3 linked regions of the Rattus norvegicus genome follow. The protein of the gene in region 1 interacts with the protein of each later gene in a biochemical or structural test. Links are inferred from orthologs where the notes say so. Each region holds a gene or a part of one and is shown on either strand. Other genes may lie near its edges.

Region 1 (4,293 bases):
TAGATGATTAAGTATGTGAGTGGCTTGGTCTCCATCCTTTGTCACTTGCTTTTTACCAGCTCCCAGGTCAGCCCTCTGGCTCCTGGCCCCGCCACTATTGCGGTGGGCACCTCCCCTCCTCACAGTGCTGCACAGTGACCTCTTCCAGGCCTTGCTGGGTGAGTAATGCTAGTGTTCTGAGGGGCCACAATGGAAAGGGCTGGCCTGCGGTATGGGGTCACCTGTTATAGGTTCTAGGCTGGTTGGAATCCTGCAGAGCCCCTAGTCCAGGCTCTTGCTTTTGTGGTCATCCCACTGTGTCCCAGCAGCATCCATCCTAGCTAGAGGAACTTGTCTCTCAACACACAGAGCCATGGGTAGCAGGGGTGGCCAGAGGGGCCTGAGGTTTGGGAGGTGACTTAATTCTGTTCCTGTGACAGACATCCTGGACTATTATGAGGCTTGCATCTTAGAGAGTCAGGTAAGGTGATGATGGTGGGTGCCTGGCTTCCTGACTGCTCAAGCTGGCAGGACTGGAGGGATGAGGACGTTCTTGCTAATTTTAAACTGAGACTTAGGGGCCTTGGCAACAAAATCCCTAGTACTGACTGAGGAGTCGGGGGCACTGACAGTGCTCTTTCTGTGGGCAGCCAGCCCTGTACCCTTTCTCCGTTCTCCCCTTTCTTGGCTTGCCCCAATTTCAGCACCAGAAAGTCCAGGTCATAATTAATTACTTTTCAGACTTCTTCCTGTGACTCCTAGGGGAGAACTAGGTCCCCAAGGTTCTCTAATGTTAGCCCCTCCCTCAGCCCCGTACCCCGTGGTGTGGCCTCCCTCCAGCACTCAACCAGCCAGGGATGCTCTCATCTCAGATGTGGGCCTTTTCCCTCTAAGGAATGAAATCCGTCCTCGTCTTTAATGTCATCATCGAGGTTAGCCAGGTCTCCATGTTTGCCGTAGGGCCTCTCTGCTTGTGCTTCTATCTCCTTTCCCATTATCCGGGTTCCTGCCAGCAGTGAAGGAGTTAACACTGCCAAGGCACCCCCCCATTCTGGCTCCTAGCTCCCTCCCTCCCTCCCCCTGCTTCCTCTCTCCTCCTCTCTCCCCTTCCCTCCTCGGCTCCGCGGCTACATCGGCCGCTGCCATCTCCAACCCCCCCCACCCCACTCCCCCGCCACGGCCCCTAGCCCCTGGCCGTTTGGCAAGACCCCCGCATACCCCGGGGCTTCCCGAAATCCAGATCCCCTCCCCCACCCCAGCTCATGCCCCAGCCCCAGAACTCCGGGGCTGCCAGCCCCCTGTGCCCCTGCCCCTCCTGAGAATCGGGGTGTGCTCCTCAAGCCCCCTCCCCTCCACTGGGGAGCCCCCTTTAGGGTCCCCCCTCCCTTCCACGCTCCCCTACCCTTCTCTTCTCCAACCTTCTCCTTCCCCTCTCACCCCTCCCCCCATCCTGGCCCCCCCTGCAAAAGTGGGGTGCGGAGGGGGGAGGGGTGAGAACCCACCGAGGGGAGGAACAAAACTCCAATGAAGTCAGAGCCCCCTACTCGCCGCCGCGGCCAGGCCCCCCAACATGGACTGTCTCTGTATAGTGACAACCAAGGTAAGCATGATGGGGGGAGCAGTGGGGAGGGGGAGTAGGTAATGAATTTGTGGAGAAGGCTTAGGTAGGCCTTATCTAGGGTTGCAGGCACTGAAGTGAGCGCATCTAAAGTAAGATGTATTAGAGGGGTCACAATTTAGTTTTGGGGTTCACATCTGAGAAAACGATGGATTTGGTCCACAGGTGCCTCCTGGAGTGATCATTTTGTACCTATAAAGAAATGGAGAATTTGATTTGGTGTTTGGGGTGTCTTGGTGGGCTCTGGTGTTCATCAGCAGTGTTTTGAGGGCAATTTATTTAAGGAGAAGCCCGCCTGCCTCACATGGGAGTTCTGCTCATATATGTGGGAAGGTGGGCTATGTGAGTGTGTTAGGGGGAGGGTTGTCTTCCTTCCTGGGCAAAAAAGCTCATTTCAAGATGCTGACCAATTGACCAATTTTGGGGGGGTGTCTCTTGGCATAAGGGTAAAGGTTACTGGTTGTGTCTGGCTTGTCTGGCTGTGTCAACTAGCAGGTAAGGGTGGGCCTTCAGGTAATAAAACATCTTGTGCTAGACATGTTTGAGATGCTCCTGATTTGAGGGAATTGTACATTTAGGGTTTAATTATGTGGAATAGAGTGAGTGACCTGGGAGTTTCCAGAGGGCTGAGGCCTGATGCAGCCTTACCTGAGAGAATGGACCAGGTGGGATTAGGATTCAGGGTACTCCCATGGGAGCTAGAAGGTTGCAAAGCTGAGGTTGTCATCTCGTAAGAAGGATGAGAGGTGTGGGGTAGGAGGATAAAAAGAAGGTAGTTGAGGAGGGGGACCATGTGGGTGGTACAAAATTTGGGGGTAGCCCAGGCAGGTGCCCACTATTCCCATCTCCCACATTTTATCTAGCCTTGGTCAAGAGAACAGAATAGCAGATGGGGAGGGGGGCTGTTACCCTGACGCTTGAGAGGACACCTGGATCTAAGGGTCTCTGAAGGCTTGTGAGGTGAAGAGGCCACTGGGGTAAAACGGTATAGAAAGAGGGCAGGGCTGGCGGAACTGGGATCCATACAGGGTACAAGGGTGTCCCTGTGGTCAGAGCCTGGAAAGAGTGGGAGATCTGGGATGAAAGCCCAAGAAGCTTAGGTCGGTCGCTTGCTCCCAGACTCTGGGACTGGCAGGCTAGATGCCTGGTGTGAGGAGGGAGGCTTGGGCGGGCGGCAGGCAGCTGGGGGTTGGGGGGTGGGACAGGAAGTGGGGGCCGGGGGAGGCGGGGTCCGGGTGAGTCACAGGCTGGGGAGGGGGTTATATTTAGTGGGAACTGCAGCTTCTTATGGAAGGAAGCTGAGGACACACATGTTCCTTGCCACAAACTCACACATGTGTATACACATGCATTGTGCACGTGTGAACATGATTAGAGATTGGGGACTGAAGATTTCAGGTCTGCATCCTTTACCCCATCTACAGGGCTGGTTGTTTTTCTCCTGGTCTGTGGATTTTGGGCTTTCTTCCAGGCTGCTGCTTCTCTTATCCCCCGTAGTTTTCAGTAGATTTTTGTGCCTCGGTTCTTCTAGCCCTCTTTCAGTCAGTGTCTGCCTGTGTTCTTTGTGCCTTCTGTCCTTAGGCCTAATCCCTGGCCTTGGCAACCTAGCTGTCATCACCTTTGTACTGATGTATATAGGAACTCATTGGAATGTGTGAGTTCTCCTTCTAACATGAACACATGAAATCCAATAAGGGTGAGGGGCTTAGTAGCACTGGTAGCTATTCTGAGTGGATGTGTCTATTCATTTCTCTGCTCCAGTTTTCAATGTGTTCGATGGAACACATGATTGAGCAACCCTGAAGGTAGGAGGCTTGCCTAGAGGATCATGTATTCAGGTCTTACTGAGGTTTGGAGACCCATGTTTGCAACATTCATTGGTCAGAAAACTTGTCAGCCTTAGATGGAGGGACTCCAACTCCCATAAGGCCTTGAGGTACAAGATCCTTCAATAGTAGAGCGTCGTGGTCCACAGGACTGTTGGGAGTTGTGGTTCCTCTCTATCCAGGCCAGTTGAGGGTGGCCCAGGAGAAACCAGCAGGGGGCACATGGCTTCTGCCCTCCGAAAATGCTGGGGAGTGGGATTGGGAGTGCTCAGCCTTTGTAGTCACTGAGCTCTCCTGGTCTGTTTGACAGCCTTCCCATTTTTCGTTGCCTATATTTATAAATTGCTGCAGTAATTTAAGGAACATTTTTGAATACTTAATATATGTTCAGCTCTGTACTCCGTGGAAACTCTGCTTTACAGCTATCACTGAGTCTTATTCGGTACCTAGATCTCTGCCAGTATCTCTATCTCTGAGCAGCTTTCTCCCACTCCGCCCCCGTCCCTCCCCCTTCTCCCCGCGCTGCTGCCGCAGTTGTCATGGTAACCAGCGACGACTGAAGTTGCGTGGCGTACTTGAGGGCAGGGCGAGGGTGGTGGAGGGCGGAGCAGAACAAATGGAGGCTGGGGGGAAAGTAGGGAAGAAATAGGGGGCATTTGGCCAGGGCCCTGGAGGCGAAGTGGTTAAGCCCTCTGGGTGGTCCTTATTGGGCAAAGCTAAGATGCTGTGGGCGGGGCAATGTGTCCAATAGCTTCATTCATTGGTCGGCAGGGGCGTGGCGGAAGGGTAGTGTGGGCGAGGCCGGGGGAGCGAATGGGCGGGAAGCGGAGGGAGGCGTGGTTTCATGGAGCAAGTGGGCGGAGTCGGCTT
Region 2 (4,351 bases), on another chromosome or scaffold:
ATTAGCAACAGGCGTCTGCACTGTCGACAGCCTGCGGCCTTGTAGGAGTCTGTCTCCTCATCCTTGTGCTTCTTACTCAATCCTGTGAAGCAAGAGGCATCGGAGGCCCAGGGAATCACCGCCTTTAGACTTGTCCCTGTGTCAGGCGGGAGGGTGGCCCCGAGTGGCACTTGCTAGCTAGCTGCACAGCTTACTTGGAACTTGCAAAAGCTTCCTTTTCCCTGCCTCCCCATATAGCCTGCCATTACACACTAGGATCTCGGCTATAAGCCTACATTTTATCAGCCAAGTATCTACAGTTGTGCCTTTTCCATACAGGGCTTAGTTTATGCTTGTAAATACTTCACAATAGCCTTGCAGTTTACCAGCATCTCATATCAGCACACTGTTAAGATGGACCTACTGTGCAGAACACACAGGAGGGAGTTCCATTTATCTCAGGTCCTATCTGGAGAAATAATGCCTTTCCATAAAGGAACGTTTTTGCAAAGTCAGCAACTTGCCTCCTGGGTGACTTTCCCTGGGGGGTGGGCTTGTTCTTCCCCTATAAAATGCAACGTTCTGTATGCAGGTCGTTGACCCCGTTAAGACCACATCAAGATAAGTTTAGGGAAGGATCCTGATGTGTGTTTTTATGGCATAAAATGTCTCACACCAAATTGTGAATTGTTAATTTTTTAAAACAGAAATGTCTGGTGACCAGCATACTGAGCCTAAAAATTTGAACTAGCGCAGGCTAGCTTTGCCCAGGACAGGGCAGTCCAGAATAGAGTGAACTGAAGATGCCACTGTGCTTCCGTCAGTCCTCGAATTTTTTGTAAAAGGTGGGGAGGGAAGCAGTAACTACTTTAGTTTTTCAGTGCACAAAGTAACAGATTTACTGTGACATTTTCACTTATGCCTCTCCCCGTTACTCCTCTGTCTCCCCCACCCTCTGCCCCGATAGGAACCTTGTTTTAAGAGGTAGGTAATTTTGCAGCTGTGCTTAAGCCGATGTGCTTAACTGGGCTCTTTTTACTACATAATTTTTTTTTTTTTTGGAGCTGGGGACCGAACCCAGGGCCTTGCGCTTCCTAGGTAAGCGCTCTACCACTGAGCTAAATCCCTAGCCCCACTACATAATTTTTTAACCCAGAAGAAGTCTTTGCTGTTTTTATCCCATACTCAGTCCTCTCCAAGGCACTAATTTTAGAGAAAAGGATCTGTAACTAAGTGCTAGAGAAGCAACTGAGGTGTGTTCCCCTGGCGTTCACTCAGCCTCCTGTGGGCTTCAGCTCTTGCAGTGCAAGTTCCAGTGCTTTTTTTATTGAGAGGGACAGACGCTGCTCACAGCTACGGAGCAGCCTAGGTGCGCCCCTCGGCTGTTATCGGGAGTCACGTGGGTCCTGGCCCCGCCCCGGGCTCCTGAGGTCTGCGTGCGTGCTCGCTGCCTTTGCAGAAGCACAGCGCTCCACCGCGAGCGGGAGGCATGGGCGCATGGCTGCCAGGCCAGGCTGAGCACTCAGAAGAAAAGCCCGGCGTCTTGGCGGTGTTGCCCTGCAGGGCTGACTCGCATGTGGACTAACCCGAAAGACTTGAAGGGACACTTGTAAAGCATGGTGGCGCATGATGAGATCGGAGGTCTCCTGCCCATTAAAAGGACGATCCGGGTCTTAGATGTTAATAACCAGCCCTTCAGGGAGCAGGAGGTAAGAGCAGACCAAAGGAATGTTTTCCAACTCCGCAGAACTTCTAAGACTTTGCAACTTCACTTTTAAACTTTTAACCGTATTACGTCCTAAAATGTATAACTATTATAAGCAAGGCTGAAATGTGTTTAGGAACTGTGGTCTAAGTTTAAGCAAATTTTTTTATATAGCATAGCTAAATTTTGAAAAGTTACATACAAAGGCGATTTTAAATATATTTGAGTCTCTGAGTAAACGTTTCTCGTGTTCGGTATGGTTGTGGTTTTTTTCTAACTGCTGTTACTAAGTCTTGTGGACTGTTTAAGGGAGGAAGGAGAAATAAGAACAAGTGAGTAAAGTCCGACCTGGGATACGTGTTCACTTTGCTTTCCCCATACTTAAGCTTGCCCTCTTTTCCTCCGAAGGGAGGTTTGAGTTCAGAACACTCACCCTCTGCCTGCCTGGCTTTGCTTGAAGTCGTTTTGGCTTTCTCAAATCTTTATAAACATTTATGAAAAAATTATTTTATGAAATTTTATGTAATTTGTGAGTTGTTTGGTGCAGAGGTGTGTCCTGCTGCCTGGTCGCTTCCGTGGTAGAAATGGTTATGGTTTCAGCCTACCAGATCTTTTGATAGTGGTGATTTTGGGGGGGAAGGGGAGACATATGTAATTGTCCATTTTAATTAAACATGAGCAGTTTAATCACATGCCTCAGGGAATGTTTGTTCTACATGCATAGGCTGCCATCTTTGTGTGGGGGTTGATACTGAATTCTGTTATTTGTTTGGGTTCACTTTTCTTACATGTTATAAAATGAATAAGCATTGTCTGGGTAGAGAATGCTTCTTCATACAATTCTGTGAGTGAAAATACCCAAAGGAGCTATCTCTTAGGCCATCAAGGATGTGCATTTTTGTTAGTATGAGACATGGGCTGTTTTCCTGGTCCCTTTACTTGGAGCATTCAAATAACCAGGAACGGAGTCCTGGCTTCAGAACTGGTAACACAGCCCTAATGACCTGAGTGTAAAAGAAGAGAATACTTGGTGATCAAAACTCGTCTTTATCTTTCTCAAGGGAAAAAAAACTTTTTTTATTCTTGTTTTCCTGTTTTTAAAGTTGTTGCCAAGTGAGAGATTATATATGAGCAATCCAAAAGGAATAAAAAAAAAAAAGTACCATGATTCGATTGACTCTACAATATGCCCTGTAGTGAATGACATCATTAGGGGAAAAAAGCTACAAAAAGCTAAATTCCCCCAAGGGTTTCATCCAGCTGCTGGGTTTATCAATAAGATACATCCCAGTAAAGCTTTAAGGTAGACTTAACTCTGCTTATAGATACTCTGGCAATGTCCTAGGACACAGAGTTAGTGGGGGTGAACCATGAGAAGCCCAGGGCTAGGCAGATTCATTCCCTCATGTGATGGACGCGTAGTCTGATTAAAGATTAACTCAGCAAACAGCAGAGCCTCCTGAGCGGCTTTCCCCTTCCAAGTGAACCCTGACCCTCATCACCCTGCAATGGAAGCTCCTTGAGGGTGAGCCTTGTTAGCACTCGTTGTTTATTCTCCCAGATCTGCTGCTTGTCTTTAGGAGGGACTCTAAGCAAATCACCCCTGCCACCATTACAGAATTAAGCTGGGCCTGGCATGGTGGGGGCAGGGGAGGGGGTACTAGGGGGGAGGGGAGCCTTCGGGGGAGTGTGGGGCGGACTTTCATCACCTCCAAATATCACTACTGAGTCCTGTCCAGGAGAGGTGCATGTGGGTATAACAACAGCCTTATGATACAGATGCTCATGTCCTCAGTACATCAGATAGTACATCAGATAGCTGGGTGGTTCGCTTGGACCTGTAGAAGGACCACTTTTGCTTATAATTTACATAGCTCACATTGTAAGGCACATTCTCAAAGAAACAGATTTTGCTCCTACCTTTTTGCTGACTCTTGAGTGCCTAATCCGTTTCACTTCTCCGCCAAAAAGAAAAGTATGATCTTTTCTTCTACATTGTCTGTATCCTGAAACTGACAGTAGGCCATTTTACCTTTTTCATTATTTGAAAAGGAGTTCCCAACGGCTATCATGTTAGCCATTTTTGTTTGTATATTTTGGTTTGGTTTAGTTTAGTTTTTGGTTTGGTTTGGTTTTGCTTTTCTCAACTCACACTGGGTAGCCCAGGCTAGATCAGGCTGGCCTGGAACTGTTGCCAAGCCTCGGTTTAACCTGCCAAGTGTACACACTATATTAGGTACCCTGACTTTTACTTTCTAACTCACTGGGCAGTGCACCTTTCTAAAGACCTTCAAATGGATATTAAATATTTGGTGATTTACTGGGAAGTGAAACTTGTGTGCTTTGAACAGGGAAGAGGTGCCAACCTCTGTTTCCGAAGCACAAGAGTCAGGCAGCTGCTCTGTGTCTAGTTCATGCTGCAAGGCTTGCTTCGTGAGGTAATTCTATCTCCATTCACTGGAGACGCTTTGTGCTGTCTTTACTAAATGGAAAGGAATGCCCCAAGCTGCCCCTGCACACGGGTGTGTCACTCAGTCTGCACAGATGTGTGCTGGAGGCACTCACATGTGCCCTCGTCAGACAGCATCTGCCATTTTACTGCGTGTCTCAAGGCTTCTTGGTCAGCTCATTGTGGTTTATAGTTTAAGTTTTGCTTCCCAGTTAGTT
Region 3 (3,595 bases), on another chromosome or scaffold:
TACCTTGAACACAAATCTTCAGGGCGACAGGCTTAGACACTAGTACTTTTTTTTTTTAATTTCTTGGTAATCGTTATGCACAGTCAAGGTTAAGAAGGGCTAGATTTAATTCACCCATAAAGGTGATCAATTGGTAAGCCTATTGCAGTGTTATTTAAAATTTATGTTTATTTTACACACATGATTGTTTTGCTTGCCAGTAAGCATGTGTACCATGTGTGTGCCTGGAGCTGAGTGCCCAGAAGGGGCATTGGACCCTTTGGAGCTCGAGTGCAAGGCAGTTATGAGCTGCAGTGTGAGATCTGTAAACTGAACTCTGCAAGAGCAGTAAGTGCTCTTAACTGTCAAGCCACTTCTCCAGCCCTAAATGACTGTTCCTTTGTTATTGTTTTTGAGACTGGGTTTCACTTAGCTCAGGCTCATACTTCATTCAGTGTGGCCGAGGATAGCCTTGAACTTGTGATCTTCAAGCCTTTAATTCTGGGTGAGTGCCACCGCATCCATTGTATGAGGTGCTGGGGCTCGAGCACAGGGCATCCCACCAGGACTGTAAGGAAGCACCATGAAAACTGAGCCCCTGACATTTGTCTTCCATCTGACTTTATAGCTACATGAGCTTATGCAGGCCTCCTAAGTGGTCTATTTCAAAGCTCCATCCATCCAGGCAGGATTTTAAGCCATAATACCAACAGACCACAATTCACTTCTCAAGGGCCAATTACTTGTGGCCAAGGTTGGGTGTTTAGATTTGAAGGGTGGCAATGGGGCCCCAGTGGGGGTAATAAGATTCCAGCAGGCATCTTCATCAGTTGTTTCAAAGGTAATTCTGAGGCAGAGTTAGTGCTGGAAACCATGGGATCACGGGAAGCGTTCACAGCCATGCCATCCAAGTTCCTTTTAGGACATGTTCCGAGCTTGGAGACACTGTTGTTTGGTGTTATGGATTCCTGAAGAGAATATGTCTGCAGGGACTGACTGACTAAAACCTCTGTGACTGCAGACTGTTTGGAGTTTCACAGGTCCAGAGGCTCTACAATTTATTATGGGTGATCTTTAACCTATTAAATAATCATGCTTTACCTTCTCGGCCCCTCAGACCATCAGACCTAAGATCCCTTCCTAGCCAGGCTCTTGGATTTGGAATATACTAACAGAACTCTAGTTTTCTATCAAAGAAAGGGCTAAGAGTGCTGTCAGACAGCATTCAGGACATAAAATAAAGTAAACCACCTCCTCTGATTTTCCTACCAATGTATTTTTAATAAGTCCTGTTTTATAATTTTTCTGTATTTTACTACCTTAAAAGCTTCATAAAACTCCCTGTGACCAATCCCTTAAAGAAAACCAAGTCCTTTCTCATCCAGTGAGAATTGGGGTAACAGGAACTAGACTTTTTCCTTCTTCTTTTTTGGAGGGAAGTGTAGGCCTCAAGGGCGGAGGGGTGGACCTGGGAGGACTGAGGAGTATAATTATGGTTTATGATGCGAAATTCCCAAATAACTGGTAAAAAATATTGTGAAAAGAAAAAAAAAACTCCATGAAACTAGTTCCATGTCAAAAAATTGGAATTTGGAGTAATCTAAATCCATGCTCCCAGACCACGGCCACTCAAATCAGGCTCCATGGTAAACTCTGTCTTATCCCCTTTGAGTTGAGAGCTGTGGTGGATGGGTGTAAGGAAAACTATTGGTATTGAGTGGATGGAGAGACCAGAGAGTGTGCTTAACAAGCTCAATCCACACGCTCACAACATAGGCTTACTCTGCTCCAGATGTCTGTAACAGCAACTCCAGAGTAGCTCTTATTAAAGAGGGACAGTGTGTGCATATATTATTTTTAAAAGTATAGGTGACATATAGCTTTATATCAGGATTACTATAAGATTTCATTTTTCTAGCTGTTAATTAAACTAATTTGATAAAGACAAAACAAAATATCTCAAATACTGGGGAAGACAACCAATACCTAATTCTATTTCGGTCTATGAACTAAACACAGTACAGTGGCTTTGAGCCATAGCATGCTGGGAGCTTTGATTAAACAGTTTGAAAATCTAGGAAGGATTTTGTAAGATTTTAAAACATCTTTTAATATAATGAGTTATCAAATCTAAGAGAATTTTTGTCTTTAAAAGTATATATATATACTTTTAAATAATATATATATGTATATATATATATGTATATATATATATGAGATATGTGATAACTTATACTCGTCCTGGACACCAGTGATTTGAGTTAATTACACCAGTCTGAATTTTCACTAACTGCTGGTGGAAAATTCAAGTATTCAAGTGCTGGACCTCAGCTACCATGACCATACCTTTAGACAATGGTGGAGGTTATCAGGATAGAGCTCAGAATGCAAGCATGAAATACCGTGGTTGCTTCCCACAGCTCCTAGCATTTGTTTAATCTCTGGGGTTCCTTTAATCACTCAAAAAGATGAAGCTATGCAAACACCACCAACCTTGCTATCGATCTCACTGCTCCCCAGTGCAGACTGAATCACGTACAGCAAGGCATCCGTGAGCCCATCACACTCCCGCATTCTGCGGCGGGCCTCCTCTCCAGCTGAACTTACATTCCTGAAAAGCAAATGAACATGTCAGGGATCGTCACTGTGGTCTCCAAGAGAATACCCTTTCTTATATAAGGAAGCTTGTTTCCTTTCTTCAGTCTTCAATGAGGGTGTAGCTTTAATGAGTGAATGTGATTGCAGGAAACATATATCCAGCTAAGTCGTAAGCATCTACTGCAAATAGAGAATGCAGAATTCCCAAAGTGGTGTGTCAGAGTTCCAGAACTCTTGATAATTAGAAATTTCTAGGAATTCCAGAGATTTGCCTCATTTACAATTGAAGAAGTGATCAGGAACTTTTAAAACATTCTTCTGTAAGAAGTCTCAAGTATTTTCACAGACAGAGCTTCCAACTTACCAAATATTTTAGAGACTTTTTTTTCTGCCCTAAACATATACCTTCCATGGCCATGCTGGAAGTATATTTGTAGCAATTCATTTTAGGGCTATCATGTTTCTGTGTCATTGGAATGTCTCTGACATCGCCCATAGGCAGGAGATAGACCATACTCTTTCCCATCTTGCATATCCCGAGCTAAAGGCAACAGAAGGAACCTGACATAATACCTTAAATAGTTATGACACAGATGTGCATTCCTTTAACTCTATAACAGACACGTGATGATGTCCTAGTAGATGGAGAATCTCTGGCATGTGTAAGAGAGAATCCTTGGAGCACTTTAGTTATTCTGTCACTTAAGAATGTTCTTGCTAAATACAGAGGCGAATGCCAGCAGCAAACCACTGAACTGAGAATAGGTCCCCCGTTGAAGGAATCAGAGAAAGAACTGGAAGAGCTTGAAGGGGCTCGAGACCCCATATGTACAACAATGCCAAGCAATCAGAGCTTCCAGGGACTAAGCCACTACCTAAAGACTATACATGGACTGACCCTGGACTCTGACCCCATAGGTAGCAATAAATATCCTAGTAAGAGCACCAGTGGAAGGGGAAGCCCTGGGTCCTGCTAAGACTGAACCCCCAGTGGACTAGACTGTTGGGGGGAGGGCGG

Evidence for each region.
Region 2: the proteins of Dlg4 (region 1) and Net1 interact in a biophysical measurement, tested with the Homo sapiens proteins (2 studies listed by IntAct, with this or other methods). The link is inferred for Rattus norvegicus from reciprocal best matches to the Homo sapiens genes DLG4 and NET1.
Region 3: the proteins of Dlg4 (region 1) and Ctnnd2 interact in a test that uses a peptide from one of them, tested with the Homo sapiens proteins (2 studies listed by IntAct, with this or other methods). The link is inferred for Rattus norvegicus from reciprocal best matches to the Homo sapiens genes DLG4 and CTNND2.

The regions. Positions count from the first base shown.
Region 1 is NC_086028.1:55,238,291-55,242,583, forward strand, and holds the start of Dlg4 (disks large homolog 4), read left to right. Parts: upstream 1-1,493; 5' UTR 1,494-1,549; coding exon 1,550-1,579; intron 1,580-4,293. UniProt on the Homo sapiens protein: Postsynaptic scaffolding protein that plays a critical role in synaptogenesis and synaptic plasticity by providing a platform for the postsynaptic clustering of crucial synaptic proteins.
Region 2 is NC_086035.1:71,268,719-71,273,069, forward strand, and holds the start of Net1 (neuroepithelial cell-transforming gene 1 protein), read left to right. Parts: upstream 1-1,514; 5' UTR 1,515-1,595; coding exon 1,596-1,688; intron 1,689-4,351. UniProt on the Homo sapiens protein: Acts as a guanine nucleotide exchange factor (GEF) for RhoA GTPase. May be involved in activation of the SAPK/JNK pathway Stimulates genotoxic stress-induced RHOB activity in breast cancer cells leading to their cell death.
Region 3 is NC_086020.1:83,596,415-83,600,009, reverse strand, and holds part of Ctnnd2 (catenin delta-2), read right to left. Parts: intron 2,591-3,595; coding exon 2,473-2,590; intron 1-2,472. UniProt on the Homo sapiens protein: Has a critical role in neuronal development, particularly in the formation and/or maintenance of dendritic spines and synapses. Involved in the regulation of Wnt signaling.